Linked DNA regions of Struthio camelus. The protein of the gene in region 3 interacts with the protein of the main gene of each other region in a biochemical or structural test. Links are inferred from orthologs where the notes say so. Each region holds a gene or a part of one and is shown on either strand. Other genes may lie near its edges. The genes, in order: KLHL15, SIAH2 and RBBP8.

What was found.
Region 1: the proteins of RBBP8 (region 3) and KLHL15 form a complex in vitro, tested with the Homo sapiens proteins (2 studies listed by BioGRID, with this or other methods). The link is inferred for Struthio camelus from reciprocal best matches to the Homo sapiens genes RBBP8 and KLHL15.
Region 2: the proteins of RBBP8 (region 3) and SIAH2 form a complex in vitro, tested with the Homo sapiens proteins (2 studies listed by BioGRID). The link is inferred for Struthio camelus from reciprocal best matches to the Homo sapiens genes RBBP8 and SIAH2.

Annotation. Positions count from the first base shown.
Region 1 is NC_090942.1:135,263,030-135,268,717, forward strand, and holds the start of KLHL15 (kelch-like protein 15), read left to right. Parts: upstream 1-2,548; 5' UTR 2,549-2,633; intron 2,634-3,208; exon of another isoform or gene 3,209-3,548; intron 3,549-5,688. Other genes in the region: EIF2S3 (eukaryotic translation initiation factor 2 subunit 3), read right to left, coding at 2,091-2,159. UniProt on the Homo sapiens protein: Substrate-specific adapter for CUL3 E3 ubiquitin-protein ligase complex.
Region 2 is NC_090950.1:33,747,207-33,752,894, forward strand, and holds the start of SIAH2 (E3 ubiquitin-protein ligase SIAH2), read left to right. Parts: upstream 1-1,952; coding exon 1,953-2,369; intron 2,370-5,688. UniProt on the Homo sapiens protein: E3 ubiquitin-protein ligase that mediates ubiquitination and subsequent proteasomal degradation of target proteins.
Region 3 is NC_090943.1:120,912,695-120,918,382, forward strand, and holds the start of RBBP8 (DNA endonuclease RBBP8), read left to right. Parts: upstream 1-1,658; 5' UTR 1,659-1,833; intron 1,834-5,688. UniProt on the Homo sapiens protein: Endonuclease that cooperates with the MRE11-RAD50-NBN (MRN) complex in DNA-end resection, the first step of double-strand break (DSB) repair through the homologous recombination (HR) pathway.

The DNA.
Region 1 (5,688 bases), on a different chromosome or scaffold from region 3:
ATTCACTTTGTATTTAAACGCTTAAAGAGTACTATGTGCGTCTTATTAAAAATTATTTATTAATTCTACGAAGCAAAATCCAACTAAGCTAATTAAAATAATTCTAGATATGAATTCTATTATTCTAAATATGTGAAGCAGGACACAAGGGAACAAAACCCTACAACCAATATAGGTCACAAAGCATTAAGGAAGGACGGAAGTAAAAATAAATAAATAATAAATAAATAAACAATACAACGAAAAAATGAATAAAAATAAATAATAAGTAAATAATAAATAAACAACAAAACAGAAAACTAAAACCAAAAGCAACTCCCCCAAAACTTGTCATACAAAACAGACAAATTCATATTAATTTTCCATGCGTGAAATGAGCAATTGTACTTCTGTTTTTAAAGTAAACGTTTATCACAAAAGGAATGGTCCATCACAATCAACATGTAAGTACAACTTACTGGTAGCATGTGTCAAATCAGAACACTTACAGATACATTCACTAGCGGGGAAAAAAAAAAAGAAAACAACCCTAACAACTCTAAGACAGCTTTTTTCTTTTAAGGCTATTTGTTCCAATACTGGATAAACATTGAAATCCACTGAAACGTTCTTCTGCGCTATTTCTGAGATTGTTCACAGTTAATTTCAAGGCCTGAAGGCCTGATCCTGCACCGAGTCCATGTGGGTGGGCTGCTGAGTTCAAGCAAAGATCCACAATGCCAGAACAGTTCTCAGTGCAGGACGTCACACAAATACTTTGTGAAGATGCATACAGTACACGTGCATACACACTAATTGGCACAGAATCATATACTGTCTACACTGTCATACAGACAGATTCTGTGCACAGTGATGAAATACAATCTTATGCAGTTAAGGCTAAGTTCAGGCCTATAATGAGCAAGTTCATTCTACCCATTACATTTTCATGAATTTCACTCATTGTATTTTAGCTTATTTTCAGGAATTACATGAACTTAGTATTCAGGTTCAACAGATAAACAAGTTTTGTTCATTTAACAGAGGCGCTTGAATATATACTTCTTGTACACCCAACTTAACATGACTAGATCTACTGAAGTCAGAAGGGGGGACGTGACCTGCAGACGGCACTATATAGTAGGATGACATGCATATACGCATGACGCAAAACCTGTCATCAACAGAGCTGCTCCCAGCACACAATTACGTACGTATGCATTTTTTTCCCTCAAGACTAGTATAAGGTTAAGTTTGGCTATAAGCTCCAGCCAAATGCGAGCACTCAACAGCCAAATGAAATTAATACAGGACAGGGCTTAAGCATAATTCATACTGACCTCCCAGTTAAGCACGTCTGCTCTTTTTCCAGTTGGCAAATACCAAGGCCAACCAGAAAAGGAAGCGAGTAAAGGAACCTTCTGAAACAATTAACATGCTTCACTCCTGAGTATCAACATGCTTACGTACAACACGGAGAAAACTCCTGTGCTCAGAAACGTTAACACTGTAAAGACAAAAATAACCCCTAATTTGCTGAAAACCAGGGAGACAGCAACCAGTGGGACTTCTGACTGGCTCTGCCTGCGTACATGAAGAAAGTGAGACAGCCGCGGCTAGGCATCTATTCGGCGAGCCGACCACAGCGAGAGACCCTCTGCGACTGATTTCCTGGTGGTCTTTGCGGAGCACACAAAGACCAACCCAGACGGCGCAGGCAAGCAAACTGCCTAGCCCCCTCGGAGAAGAGAAAACCAAAGCGCAATTCTCCTTCGGGCAAAGCAGCCTTTGAGGAGGAGGGCGCGGCACGTCCCCCACCGTCGCCACACGAAGGCCTCCCCTGCCGAGGGAGCCGGGAGGCAAGCCCACCGAGCTCCGCTCTCCTCTCACGGCTCCAGCGAGCCAGGGGCCCCATCCCGCCCGCCCCGCCCAGCCTGACCGGCTCCCGCGGCCGGCCCGGAGCGCCGCCCGGCCCCGCGCCCCCTCCCCGGCCCCGCCGCCCTGCCAGCCGGCGGCCCCCAACGGCCGCCCGGCCCGGGGGCGGGGGAGCCCGCATCCCTTCAGCCTCCGCGTGCCGGCGGCCCCGCCGCCCGCCGCCGCGCCCCCCTCACCAAGGTGGCGAGGTCCTGCCGGGAGAGGTGCGGCTGCCCCAGAGTCACTCCCGCCTCATCCCCCGCCATCTTTGCCCGAAGAGGAAGCGAGGAGCCCGCGGCGGCCGCCTGACCCCCGGCGGGGCTCGGCGCCGCCGCCGCCCGCGCCCCGCCCGCCGCCCGCCCGGCGGTACCGAGGCGCTCGGCTCGGGCCGCCGCCTCGCGGAGCGGCGCGGGGCCGCCGCCAGGCACGCCGCGGGGCGGGAGCGGCTCAGGCGCGCGGCGGGGCAGCCCCGGGAAGGACCCCGCGTCTGCCTCGCGCCGGGGTGATGCAACCGGGCCTGCGGCAGGCGCCGCTCCGCGTGCGCCAGCGCCGCGAGCCGGGCGGGGGCCGTGCGCGTGCGCGCGCGGGTGGCGGGCAGCGGGGCGGGGCCGCGGCGCGCGTGCGCAGTGCGCGCCCGCCGCCCCTCCCCCCCCCATCTTCAGGGAACGGTCGTGAGCCCGGGGCGACGGGGCCGTTGCGCGGGCGGAGGCGCTGAAGAGAGGGAGGGGGGATGGCGAGAGGTGAGCTCCTTCAGACGTACCGTCAGGGACGGTTTGTGCTTGGTCTTACACGCAGCCTCGCGTTCCTGTGGCAGTGACAAACGCCTCATAAATTAGCGTGTTTTAAGTATTTCTGTTGAAAAGGGGTTGTCTCTTGTCTTTAGAACTGCAGGCTGCCTGGGCCCCGCTGTTATTTTATATTATTGCGGTATGTAATACCTAAAATGTAGTCGCTTCGATGCTGTAATCAAGATGGGGGCTGGTTTTGCTGAGAGCTGTACCAAAAGAATGAGTTTCTTTCTGTGGTTATGGATGGCAGTGAGGATCAGCTTTTGTTGATGCATATGCAACAGCAAGAAAATGCAGGTTTATCTAGCACAGTAAATGGGCATGAGGCAGAAAAGAGGATAAGGGTGAAAATGACAACCAGATGTGTTTGTATGCACTAGAAAAGAGAACACCTAATTTGATGTCAGAGCATTTGTGTTTGTGTTTTTACGGTAAAATGTCACTATACAAATGTTAGTAATCTTTGCTGGCCATCTGCCTAACAAGATTTTGAATGTCAACCTTCTTCTTCTTGCTGTCTTTTGTAGGCTCAGTGCTTAGTGGTATAGAGAACATATGGACATAAGACCCTGCCCCAAGAATGAACAGCTCGAATCTTTCATACCAGACAACTAAAACCCCCACCACATGCATGCTGTTTTCAGATTTGGGCACAACATAAGTGCTTTAAAATTCAAATAAAATCCCTGGTGCAGTGATGACAGCCAGCTTGGAAGTTTAACAGAGACTATGAGATAACGGCCAAATTCCTAGCCCTTCCACTTGGAAACTCAAACTGTCTCCTTCATGGAAACCTCTTCTTACAGGCATAGAGGCTATTGCTCCTAGTAGGATTTCTTCTATGATCTCAGAGAAACAGGTTTCAATGTAAGTAACCGTTGTGTCAAATACATCCATGTTCATCAGCAGTGTCTTTGCCTACTGAAAAATGTGAAGGTACTCGGATATTGCCTGGCTAACTGGGTGACAAAAATAGGTTTGGAATACCCGACAACGTGACTGAAGTGTGATGATGGAAATCTGTACAAAACTGGTATGCCTGGCTTAAAAATGCTTGTAACCTCCCACTTTCACAAATCCTAATATTTCCATTTCTTTCCTGAAACAAGATTCAGACGTGAGTTTTACTCCAAAAAACCTAGAGCAAGTGCATTGGCAGCATTCTTGTTTTGAAGAAATGAATATGCGAATGTAGCAAGAAACCTTACAGTGGATGCAGTGATGTTGCCAGTGATAAACTCTGTTTTGTCCTGCAACACAATAGTTCTGCACAAATTGACCAAAAATGAATATAAATCTACTATAAATCCAAAATACATGAAATAAAAAACTATAAAATTATATACAAAATGTAAAATTAAAAAATTTGTATCTAGTCTTTTTCAGGCTAGATGATGTATTACAATTTTCAATAAATTATCCCACTTCTAGGAAAAAGAGTAGATGCTTATGACTGAGGTACACAAAGTATGATGGGAGCATGATGCAATACTTGGTTATAGTTGCCTGGACTTCTAGGCATGTATAATCACTGTTTTGTGAAAATGAGCTGAAAATACCAGGCTCTGTACTTATTTAGCTGTGTAAATTATACAACAGCACAGTGCAATATAAAATTATAGAAGCAGTTTTTGTCACATTTGCAATAGCCTTTATAAATGATTTAATCCTTGCCAAGAGATGTTAGGCATCTGAAAAAGTACACAAACCGTTTCTCCTACTTTAAAAATAAAATTATACATTTCACATATTCTGAGATGGTCTTACTTTGATTCACTCCATTTTTGAGTTCTCCTAATATGAAGAAAAAACCAGAAAAGTCTAAAGACTGGCAAATGTCTAATAAAACAGGATAAAACCTCACGTTTTTAGGAACTGTCAAGTGTATTACTCATACACCTATACATATAAAATAAATAAGGTTTAAAACTACACAAATGAAATGGCAACTAGTGTACTAATATAGCTCAAACACTCAAGTGCATAATTTTATGGTAATAGTCTCATTTATGTCAGTGGGAACTACTTAGCAACCGAGATTGTACAGATGCCTAAATGAGAGGTTTCCATCCAAATCTCCATTTGCATTAATGCTCATTAAGGTAATACTGACACCAGTGGTCGTTGGCTGGGGCTCAAAGTTAATAACGTTTTTAGTTAGGAGATTAAAATTGAGGCATTATTAACGCATTTTGATTTTTTCATTAGAAGCAAATTGTCTAATGTGAAGGAGAAGGAGGTTTGTTTTGTTGTGCTTTTTTATGTTGACAGTGAGTATGTCAAAGCTGTCAGGAGGCAGTTTGGCTTGGTTTGAGGTTGTCTTCTGTGGCAGTGTATGGGAGACCTAAAGATCGTCTTATACGTCGGCCGGCCACAAACTGCCAACAGCAAAATGACAGCTGAAACCAAAACAGTCCTGCTAGCTCTTTCCACCTTTAACTGACCTATGAAGGTGAAAAGTCTGAAGAGAGCAGAAAGTTGTTCATGTTGTATCATTTCTGTACAAAATATTTATTTCCTACTCCAATTTTTCTTTACTGAAGCATGAGTGTGCTATGAGTGGGTATGTGGTTGGAACAGCAGAGGACATATATCCTATGACTAAGGATGAGAATGTCTTTTCTCTGTAAGACTTAGAGGGCAGCAACAGTAGCTCTCTTGGAGAGAGTCAATAGATAAACGTTAGTTTGTTTAACCATAACTGCATTAGTAACAGGTTTTGAAGCAGTGACCGGGGAAACGGGGCAAATTTACTGCATGAGTTAGGGCACGAGATGGAATGGTATGAAGTTAGCTGAGTAGAGAGAGGTCAGGTTGTTGGTATGATGGAGTGAATGGGAGCCGGCTGATTGTAGTGTGGCCTAAGTAGGCCGTGAGGGAGCAGTAGGAGGTCAGTTAGCAGAGTGGGAATAGCAGTGGGAAGTCTTCTGTGAAGCAGTGCACGGCATAGCTGGTTGGTTGTGGAGCTATGAAAGGTGGGAAGGGCATTCAGATTGGGGGTGGCAGT
Region 2 (5,688 bases), on a different chromosome or scaffold from region 3:
CGAGGTCGGCCTACTGGCCTTATCTCGAGCCTGATGGACGCTTCCCAGAAACGAGATAACGGCCAAAGAGGGGAGCGTGCTTTGACTTCTCCAGCGCCAGCTCCCAGAGAGGGAAACAACCCCTTCCTCCCCCGCAGGGGGGAATTGCAGGGCATGAAGCCCCACGACGAGTAATGCCCCGAAGGCAGCTGGGTCTGCCTGTCCAGCAAGCGGAGGCTTGATGATGGCCCATGTATTTTGATTCCAGCTGGTCCTCAAGGACCATTTGTGAAGTTTTTCTGCTGCGGCACGAAATGGAACTGCTGAAGTCAGAGCTGGTTTGCAGAAAGGTCAGGTTATCTCCAGAAGCCACTGCCCATATAACCCACCGGTCTGGCCAGTTCGGAAACCAGACGGGAGGTGGCGTTTGACAATTGATTACGGGCGCCTGAGCGCTACCAGAGCCCCGCTACCAGCTGCTGTACCAAACGCTGCAGACTTCACAGGCGCCGTGCGAGCGGCTGCACACCCATGGATGGCGGCGCTAGACGCGGAAGACATGTCCTTCACGGTCCCCTCGCGGGAGGAGGGCAAACAGAGGCTCGCTTTCACGTGGGAGGGAACAAAACATACCTTCAGCAGACTCCCGCAGGGGCGTAAACTTTCACCCATGATTGCTCATGCCGCACTTGCTGGACTTTTTACAGACAGTCTCCCTCCCTCCGGATGTGAGACTGTACCAACAGTGCGATGATATTCTGATCAGAGGAACTTCCCCTGAGAAGGGGGGACGCGGCAGCAGCAGTGTGGCAAGGTTTTCACAAGCTTCACTCAGTGAAATAATTAGTTCCTAATAAATTTCAGCAAGAATTCAGGTCACATCTCCCGCTTGCACCTTTGGGGACTTCCCTGCTGAGTTTCACCCTAAGGTCTTGTTGATTTGTGTCTCGGAAAGTGCAAGACCTTTTCATTGCACATGAATGCGTTCTGCATTATTGTATGATTTCTCACAATACTCAAGAAAACCCCGTTACCAGAAACGTATGCCGAAGACTTTGTTGACTGGGCTGTGTCACCCGATTCAGCGGAACTCAGCAAAGGGCATGAGAAAAACAAGACTTCGGTTACCGAGGCACCTTCTTTCAACGGAAGCGCAGCACATCTAGTCCCTTAGCGAGGCGCTCGGCCAGGCCTGGAGCGGAGAGCCAGAGGGGCCTGTGCGAACAGCAGCGTTACGGCGACGCGCTGCTCGCTCCGGGACAAGGCCGCCAAGCCGCGAGGCGCGCCCTCGGGGCAGTAACGTCGGCAGGAAACCCTTGCTCGTTTTGCTGACGGGGAAACGGGCTGGCGCTGCAGCGCTCGACGCCAGCCGCGGCCCGGCTGCGGGGGCACCGCACCAGGTATCCGCGCCGCTCCTCACCCGGCCGGGCCGTCGCCAGGGCCAGCAGCGGCGCTGCGCTCCGCCGCCCAGCCGCCCTCTTTTCCTCAGAGGAAGGAAGGGGCTCTGCAGGACTCCTGTCCTGGGGCTGCAGCGCCTTGCCCCGCCAGCGCTACGGGGCCAGCGGAAAGCGCCTCCGCCAACCGCCTTCCCCTCGCGGCGCGAAACGCCCCCGCCGGCCGGGCATGCTCCGTAGGCGGCGGCGCTGAGGCCGCGCCCGCCCCGCCCCGCCCCGCCCCGCCCCGCCCCCTTGCGTCAGCCCCGCCCCGCGCTCTTGTGTCAGCCCCGCCCCGCCCCGCGCCCGCCCCGCCCCGCCCCGCCCCGCGCTCTTGCGTCAGCCCCGCCCCGCGCTCTTGCGTCAGCCCCGCCCCGCCCCGCCCCGCCCCGCGCTCTTGTGTCAGCTCCGCCCCGCCCCGCCCCGCGCCGCCCCGCGCTCTTGCGTCAGCCCCGCCCCGCCCCGCCCCGCCCCGCGCTCTTGCGTCAGCCCCGCGCTCCGGCCGCCGCCGCCGCGCCCCCATGGTGCCCGCGGCGCGCCATGAGCCGCCCGCCGTCCGCCGGGCCCGGCGCTAGCAAGCCCTGCGGCAAGCAGCAGCACGGCCCCCCCCCGCCGCCGCCCGCCGCCGCCGCCGCCCCCCCCGCCGCCGCCACCATCGCGGCAGCCGGCGCCGGCTCCTCGGCGGTGCCCGCCGCCGCGGCCGTGCTGTCCGGGGGGGGCGGCGGCGGGGGGGGGGCGGCGTCGCCGCAGCACCACGAGCTGACCTCGCTCTTCGAGTGCCCCGTCTGCTTCGACTACGTGCTGCCGCCCATCCTGCAGTGCCAGGCCGGCCACCTGGTGTGCAACCCATGCCGGCAGAAGCTGAGCCTCTGCCCCACCTGCCGGGGCTCCCTCAGCCCCAGCATCCGCAACCTGGCCATGGAGAAGGTGGCCTCGGCCGTGCTCTTCCCCTGCAAGGTAAGGCCGCCGCCCCGGCCCAGGCGCTTTTCCTCGCTCCTTCCTTCCCCTCCGAGGCTTCCCCCGAGCTGTCAGCCCGCTGCCGCCCAGCGGCCAAGCCCCGGGCCGCTCCGCCGCCCTCGCGGCGCAGGCTGCGAAGCCTCCTGGTGCGCCTCCTTTCCGTCCCCCCGCTTGTTCTTCCAAACCTCCCTCCGCCTCGCAGCCCTCGGAGGTGCTGGGGTCTCCTTCGCCCGAGATACTCAAAACCCGCCTGGGCGCGATCCCGGGCAACGTGCCCCGGAGGACCCTGCTCGAGCAGGGGGTTGGACTAGACGATCTCCAGAGGTCCCTGCCACCCCCAACCATCCTGTCGTTCTGTTTCCATCCATGTACCAGCAGGTTGCACTTTATACCAAATCTGAAACATACGTTCTAAAATCGGCATGCATTTCGATGCAAGCACAATGTTCTTCCCACCCATCGTGGCAATGGGAACTCCCTTAGGCGAGGACCCATAACTGGGTAGTAGTGCGTAACGCTGGAGTACAAATCCTGGATTTAGTGCACAGAGTGGTTCAAACGGAGACAGAAATCCACTAGCTCCTGCTGCAGCTGTGCGCAGGAGGCAGCATAAAACCTGAGACGTTCTCAACTCTCAGTCCCGTCAGGTTCCCCCAGAGAGCACAGGGGAAGAGCCTAGGCACGTGGCTGTTTTGGTATGAATGCTGTCTTGAAGTCCCTTTTTTTTTTTTTCTCCGTGTCAGAGGACGACATGATCTGGTTTTGGACCATAAGCTAAACAGTCAGTTCCAACAGTCTGTTAGCTAGCTGGGAAAGGAAGAGCGTGATACGGGGTGGCTGTGGTGTGAGTGCATCCGATGGCACAGGTAACGCACGGAGGAGGGGAGCACCACTACTACAGGATTTCCCAGGCGAGGCTGTGTCTCGTGTCCTTTGCTAGTTTGGTCCAGAAATATTAACAGTTTATGAGAAGGCTGAGGAATTTTCTAAGATTCATCCAACAAACTGCCAAGTGAACCTGCTGTCACTTATAGGTGGTGATGATTTCTTGGTCTTCTATTTAAAACACTACCTCTGCTCTCCTTGAAGATACCCTCAGAGTTCCTCGCGCTGCTTCTTGCTGGAAAATGAAATGGGGAAAAAAAGTCTTGTCTGAGTATTTAGCACAGTCGGTCGTTACAAAGGCGAGAACCTTTTTTGTTTTCTTCAAATATTTTAATCTGTGCTGATATTTAGTTTTGAAAAAAGGTTTGCTGGAGGGAGCAGAAATTCTCTCCCTGTGTCTTTGGTAGTTTTCTGCAGCCCTCCTTTGAGGGACAGGGACTGGTAAGCCGTCAGGTCAATAATTACCTCTGAAATTTTTTTAAGGCTGTTCTGACTGTCTTAGCACTATTTCAGGTGTTCAGATTAAATATTTAAGTCTCAGGTATTTTTAAGTGAGTTCTCCTTAAAAGGACCAGGTGAACTGTTCTAGTTCATATCCTTCCTAATAGACATTCATCAGGATGGCAGAGAGGTGCACAGAGATAATGCTGAGTGGATCCTTCCCATGGCTTTCTGGAGTCCCCAGACGCTTGTGCTGCCGTACCAAAAGCACTTTAAAACCACAGGGCTGAAGTGAGCAAGGGACAGATACGGGAATTGCTAAAACCATCACTGATGTGGAATATGAGAGGAAGCTTTTAAAACGCACAGCTGGTTGTTGCAAGGTGGGAGAGCAGCGGGCAGAAAGGCGAGCAGCAAACGCCTGGCCCCGACAGCCGCGTGGTAGGATTTTGAAGTGAGAACTGCAAGTAGACTTCAATTGCGCGTACCGGCGACGAGGCAGGCCGTAAGAGCAGCCTGGACTCACTGACGATGCACGGCAGCTAATGATTCATGCTCGGAGTGAACCACCTGTGTTGACTCATGCAGCAGTTTAAGCGCTGTCCGCGGTTAGAGCAGCTACCTCGCGAGGACGGGCTCGGTCACAAGGCAGAGCGGGAGGGCTGCAGGCCTCTTACTGCGTTGTTGATAGCACAGGACCTGTTCCACTGTGCAGCTTGTGAATGGCAGTGAATCTCCCGATGGTAACAACCGACGGAGCGTCGAACTAACACACTGCTCCTTCTTCATGCTGGACATGGCAAGAAGTTCAGGGAGTCAGATGCCCAGCTGTGACTGCTCCTTAGCCTCAGGGAATAAAAACATTCAGTGCATCCCCCCCCCCCCCCCCCCAACTGAAACGCTGGCCTAGTTTTCAGTTTCTAAAGTGTCTTGTCAGTCTAATCTGTGGCAGCTGGTATTCCCTAGTTGCCCTAACGAAATTGGTGCATCAACACTAGAACAGCTCTTCTGACCAAAAGCCTTACAGCCTCTGTTTCTTGCATTGAAATACAATACTGATCTATGCAGGATGCAAATCTCTCCAGCGCTGGAACTGCCAGACAGGACACCTGCTCTTCCCAGCTGCTTTATGGTTAAAGAAAGTGTGCAAGAAAGAAGGAAACTATGCTATAGAGTTTTTTCCCTTAAAAATAGGAAGATAAGACATTCCTAACATGAACTGTCAGACTTTAATTTATTCAGTTGGTAACAGAAAGGTTTCTTAAGCCCTTAATTGAGGGTATTGGCTTGTTCATGCCTTAAGGTTTTCTTTCTCCATGGGCAGAGGAGTAAGCACCAGCAGAGAAGTAGGTTTAAACACCACCCCCCCCCCCCCCAGAAAAAAAAAAACCCACATCTGAATAAAGATCACTACATCTTTCAGGCAAGTTTCAGTTCACATATATCAGTTGTAAACACTTCTCCAGTTGGGCACTCTCTAAATATAAATAATACAAAAAGACTAGTTCATGTAAAAATACTGTATTTCTGAAAATTCCTCCACGTGTTACTTCTGTGATTAACGTCACGCTCTTTAAAGCAAGTGTAGACCTACGCAGCGGCTGGGTCCGCATCAGCAGCGGCTCGGAAAAGGGAGGGATGCAGGCGAGGTTGTAAGTTCGGAACGACCGAAGAACGCCCCAGCGATCAGGCAGCTCTGAGCCTGCCTCGAGAGACTGAGAGCTGCTGGTGGGTTTTGGTGGTTTCTGAAATAGATTATCTAAGATTATTTATTCTGTGCTTCTTTGTATGTCAGAGCCTCCCATGGAGGCATGCAGGAAACACTGGACTGGGTTAGTGTTGGCTTGGGGTTTGTTTTGGTTTCTTGAAATAGGCACTTGCAAGCTAGTGCAGAGTTGGAAGAGTTTGTGAGAGAGACTTGTTGAGCTAGCAGTGGTCAGTATTGCTCACCTTGCAGCCACATACTGAGGTCTTTGTGCAGTCAAGAGCTGCA
Region 3 (5,688 bases):
ACATTTGGCTTTGACGCTCAGTTATTTAGTACAGCACACTGAATCACCAAAGCCACTTCCTGCAACGGACTTTCTTGTAAATCTCTTATCCAAGTACTGACCAAGCCCAGCCCTGCTTAGCTGTATGAAATCATAGCCTAAGGTGGTGTATGTGCAAGCACAAACAGTATACATCTGTCATTTCAGCTCAGTTAGTAATCCAGTTGCCTTCTTTAGAATTAAGCCTTCCACTAAAGGCCAACATAAAATATAATCTTACAAGAAATGTTACTTTCCTGTAGTAAAATAGTCTGAATACAGCATACGCAGATATTAGTGTTTCTTCTGTTAGCTTTTCTGGTCAATGATGAAAAACCACTCATTATGTTGCACAAGGCTGGTTAAAGTGGACGCTAAGTTCCTGTTCTGACCACTAGTCATCTAGTAGCTATTATTAAAATGGATAAATAAGACATGAAGATCAAAAGAAGGATAGATGATACCACAGTGGGATTGCTTAACGAACAAACACAACTTTCTAAAGTTAGTCAGTCTTAGACAATACTGAACGGAGCTAATCTTTTCTAAGCCTGAGTGTTTAAATTTAGGTGGCTAAATAAAAGCTAAAGGAACCTAAGCATAGATTTAGCAGGCTAGTTTTATGCACTTTTCCAAAAGTGCTAAACATCCACAGCTCCTACTGATTTTAGTCAATAACCCCAACAATCACAGCATGAGAGCTGAAAATTATGGTCTATATTTGTATTTGAAAGAAAGCAGTAAGTTTATACAGATGCAGGATTCTGTTGGGGCAGAGATCCTGATCTCTGTCTACACCTTGAATAAATATGCTATAGGCAGGACTGATGTGCAAGTATTCTTGCCCCCCAGACATGAGTAAGAAGCAGCGCAGCTGCTGCTGCAACCCATGTGCTAGGGCAGCTGCTGTATCCTTCACAGGAGGAGAGCACTGCTTCACAAGCAGTTCATGGTTATGGAAGCATGTCCCGTATACTCCATATTCTCTGACCCGTTTCACGTTCAAATATCCTGTGTGGTAATGCAGTAATGCCGGGCAAGATTACACTGGCTGTCTCCCCACATGTAACAAAGCTATGCGATATCCTATACACAGGGTATTCTCTCACACTTATAGGAGGACTGGCACTTAATTTTTCTCTTAGCTAATTGCACTAAACATTTGGGGTTATCTGATTTTAAGAAGTCTGCATGATTAGTGATATATAAAAAAAGACATTTTTTGTTCCCATTTCCCTCTGCATTTATGCTGAGCAAGACCTCTAGCCCAGTGCATCTGCATATAAAATGAAAGAAAGCTTATAACAATAAGATCTTGCTATACTTAACAAGGATATATCACTCCCCCACCCCTTGGTAAATTATTTTGCTGGAGGCTACATCATTCTATCTGAGTAGTATGTTGAGAGTTGACAAAGGCATGAATAATTCACCGCGTATGAAGCCTTCCTTGAGCTGAGCTGAGCTGAGCTGCAGCATGTTGGGCTGGCCTTTGATGCAGACTGGTTGGGCAGGTTCCCGGGCGCCCGGGGAACCGGTCTGACAGGCCTGTTATGCCAACAAATTCTGGTATGATTCCATGCTCTCCAGAATGCAGAAACCTGCCCAGCCAGTTAAATGAAAGGCATATTAGGTTATCCATTGCACATTGTATATATCTTAGGTGCAGCAGATCTCCTCTCGGCACTCTCTAGTGTGGTCCACAGTGGCTTCCTCATCTTACTTACACTTGAGGTTTATAGCTGGAGGGGAAGTCAATAGTAAATATTTATCACCCCGATCAAGAACAGAACTTTTCACAATTCAAACAGAAGGGTGAGTTTTGAAAGTCTTTCTTTAAAATTAACTTAAGATAAACTAAAGCAAAAATTTTATTCTATGCTTGAAGTGGGAGAATGGCTATCTCCTTAATGTGTCTGGGTACTGCCAGCCTCTGTGGCGCTTGTTGACATTTTTGCGACTGCAGCTTTTGACCATTCTGCACGCAGCTCAACATCATCTGCTCTGTCTTCAAGAATATTTACTGGAGAGACAGTTTAATGAACTCAGCACAGGAGTGTGAGATGGAAACTCCACTGCCAATGACTTAGTATTTTGAGTTGGTCAGTTAAGTTAGCTTATCCTTCTCGGTCTTCTCTTTTATAGTGTTTTTTATAATCCCATAATAGCACTGCTGTGAAAAAGCACAGTGCCATTACAGTAATATGTGTGATAACTAATACTTGCTGGACCAACATTTTTTTTTTTAATTGTGTAGTTTTATGGAGTGGGTTAACTAAACTCGATTTACATTTTCAAAATTGACTTAACAGCAATATAGGAAATGTATTTGTCATTCTTAACTGCTTTCTTTCTATATATTTATTAGAAACTTCCTGTTTAGAATGTAATAAGTAACGGTGGTAGCAATTATAATAAAAAAGAGTCTTAATCCAAAAGAGCAGGCAGCCCTGAAAGTTGTACCTGGATCTGCAACTGAAACCATTCACAGGTACAGTGTCAAAAAAGAAAAATTAAACAGTGTGAAAACAAAAGCTGTGGAATCTGGTAACTGATTAACTACTGCAGCACAGAAGTACTTGCTGAGCTGAATAGAAAGGAATGAAGACAGGTTTTGTCATGCCTGTTAGGACAAAATAACTCTTTAACTGAAGTAAATCTGAATCTTCTCACCCTCTGTGTAACTACGTTCTTGAAAACTCATATAGCCGCTTCCATCTCCCTGGAAATGTTATTTTAGTCTCTCTTTAAGTGACACAATCACAGTTCTCTTTCATGAGGTAAAAAAATAATTCCTGCCCTAGTGGACATAAACCACTAGATACGTGTAGATATATGCAAGATTATGTAAGAATTTATGGAAGTCACACAACAGGAAGCTTCAATTATGGAGGTGTTTACTGCCTGCTATTTCCAGGTTGATGCAAAAATGAACATTATTATTCTTTTGTAGATTGCCAATAAAAAGGCCTCCTGAGCAGCTTAAAAAAATGAATGAGAGACTGAAATGACCTTCTTGCTGGCTGCACTTTATCTGTTAGTTAAAACCGTTCTTCAAAGTGTAAAAGAATGGAAAACAACACAGGGGAAGTCTTGCGCTCTCACAGAGGCTAAAAATATGCATCAGGAAAAAGCATTTAATTCTTAGCATCTCTGTTGATTTTACTATCAAATATGGGATTAAAATTTACTTAGACTAAGGAATACACCATTCTCAAAAGGAAAAACTGTAAGTGGCTGAACTGTATGGTTTGACCAGGGACACTCTGTAGAGACCATAAAATGCTCCGAGAGAGCTCTCTTTGCTAAAGCTATAGAATTGGAACACTGTACAATTTTTAAAATTCAAATGAAATACATCATTTTTTAAAATACTGCTTGCCACCCTCTGCCTTAGCAATTTTTGTGCTCCATTTTATTTGGGTTCTTGCCTGATTGCTTTTTCTTTGGGGCAGAGGCCATTGTTTAGGGATTTTTTTCCCCAAAAGGTAAAGGTAAGTAAAATACCATTTCCCAACTGCTATTCTGTTTTGCTTGTTCTCCCGTTCTGAATTCTTGTCGCTCGCTATAGCAAGAAGTAGGTGGCATGATATACAGATGTGCAAATTTTTACTTCAGTCTTCCAAGCCTGAAATAGACTTCCAAGGCTAATATAAATAGGCATAACTACTCAGCCTATTCATATAAACCCAAGTAATATTGGTAAGAGCAAACCATTTCAGTCTGTAGCTAACATAAACAGGCGCTGCTCCTTAGAATCTACCGTCCTTGGAGGACCAGGAACGCTACACTGAAGTCCTGAAACAGCATCCCTCGGGTTGCTTTTTTCCCCTCCATCAAGCCTCTCTAAAGGACCTGAGAGTTCCAGCCAAGCAAATCCCAGCTGTTTCAGACTACAGATGAGGAGCGGTGTAAGCACTTCAAAGAAAAGGGTTCCTTACAGTGAACAATGTTATTGGCATCAGGGAATTTGCCCTTGGCTTGAGTTCAAAAGTGGCTATGCAAGTTGCTTGAGAAGACTCAAATTCAACTCGTGGGGGTGATGGAGTAGCTCCTCCCTATTCTTCCGGAAAAAGCAAATGCTATCAGTGCCAGACAGATTGTGTGCTGTGTGCTCTCCCAGTTTTAAGAAATGATACCATTCAGAGGACTGCCACTTTCTACACTCCTAGTTGAAATTCCACGTAGGTAGCTGCTGAAACGTGTTGCATGCTCTCACTCACTACATATGAAGCTGGGCTCATGTGATGTCCTTAGTGGCAGCTACAACATGAAGTTCATGAAATGAACATTCCTAGAGATTAATCAATATATTTATCTCTCAATGCAGATCCTGCATGACAGGGAGGTTGTGAACACACTGGCATGTACATATATGTGCAATCTGCTATATGTTATGTGAATAAATAAGGGTTTCACTATTACATATATATGCAGGAAAAGAGCAATTTATTTATCATTGTGTAAGTACAATGATAATTGCCATTCAAAGCTGGCTTTAATCTTCGCATCTAAATTTAAGGTAGTAGCAGCAAAAAAATTCAAGCTATCCACTATTCTCTTTTAAAGCTACTTTGTTTGTACTTACCGTTATCTGACTGGTTAGAAACACTAATGCAGCCTCTGCGCTACCAAAAAAAAGGGGGGGGGGTTATTTTATCTGTGCAACACTGCAGTACTCTTACAAAATAAATTCAATCAGTAGCTGATTTGCTAGCAAATGGTCCAGTCGCCAAGAAGGTATTACCATTAAACTGTAACTGACAGTCAACAGCTTCATATACTACTAGTAAGGCTAAACGTTTTAGGCATTAGGGTCTAAAATGGGCTGGGATTACATTATACTCCCTTTTCTGTTTCAGAGTTGTTCATAGATATGTATTCTGTTATCCAGTTTGATGTGCCATATTAAGGGTTACTTTGAAATCTGGACACCAGCCATGATTCCACAGGAACTTTTGTATCTGCTCAAGTGCTAAAATGACAAAGTCTTTTTTTCCCACAGTTTTATTGTCTAGGTGTGGGTGTTTACTCTTATGAGATGAATGAGATGCAGTTCCAGTTAGACTAGTCAGCTTAAACATCCAATATACTGAATGTGGAATATCAGACTCTTCAGAAGTTTGCTAGCACGTTTAGTGAGCCAGGGATCCATTCAGTAACTTGTGGTCAGGTATGTGATTATGGAACACATTTTTCTACATAAAATCAAGTAAATCTGGAAAGGAGATAAGGGTAAAGTTCAACTGTTGGTCTTATTCTGCATTCACTTATTGACAGTAAATTAGGATAAACTGCAGAAGTCAGTGGAGATATACTGCTGTAAATTTCAACATGGGAGAACTACATCCATTCAGATTATTTGGACAGAAGACACAGTTATTTTCTAGAGTGCTTCTTAGAAATAAAAAGAAGGGTCCAGTTCATGGCAGAATGACTGACCAATCAGCAAGAAGATAACTTTACTGCTACTTTTCTGGTCTGTGTGTATATTTAAATACATGTTTATCTTAAGTCTGAGGAAATGATCACTCTCTGACATTACTAACTTTTAGATTATAGAAAATTCAAAAGTAGAATAAAAAAAGCAGGGAACAAGACAGTTCTTGCAGACACTATTTAAGAATATTGGCATGTCTATCGAAACCTATTAGGGAAGTTTCTTCCATA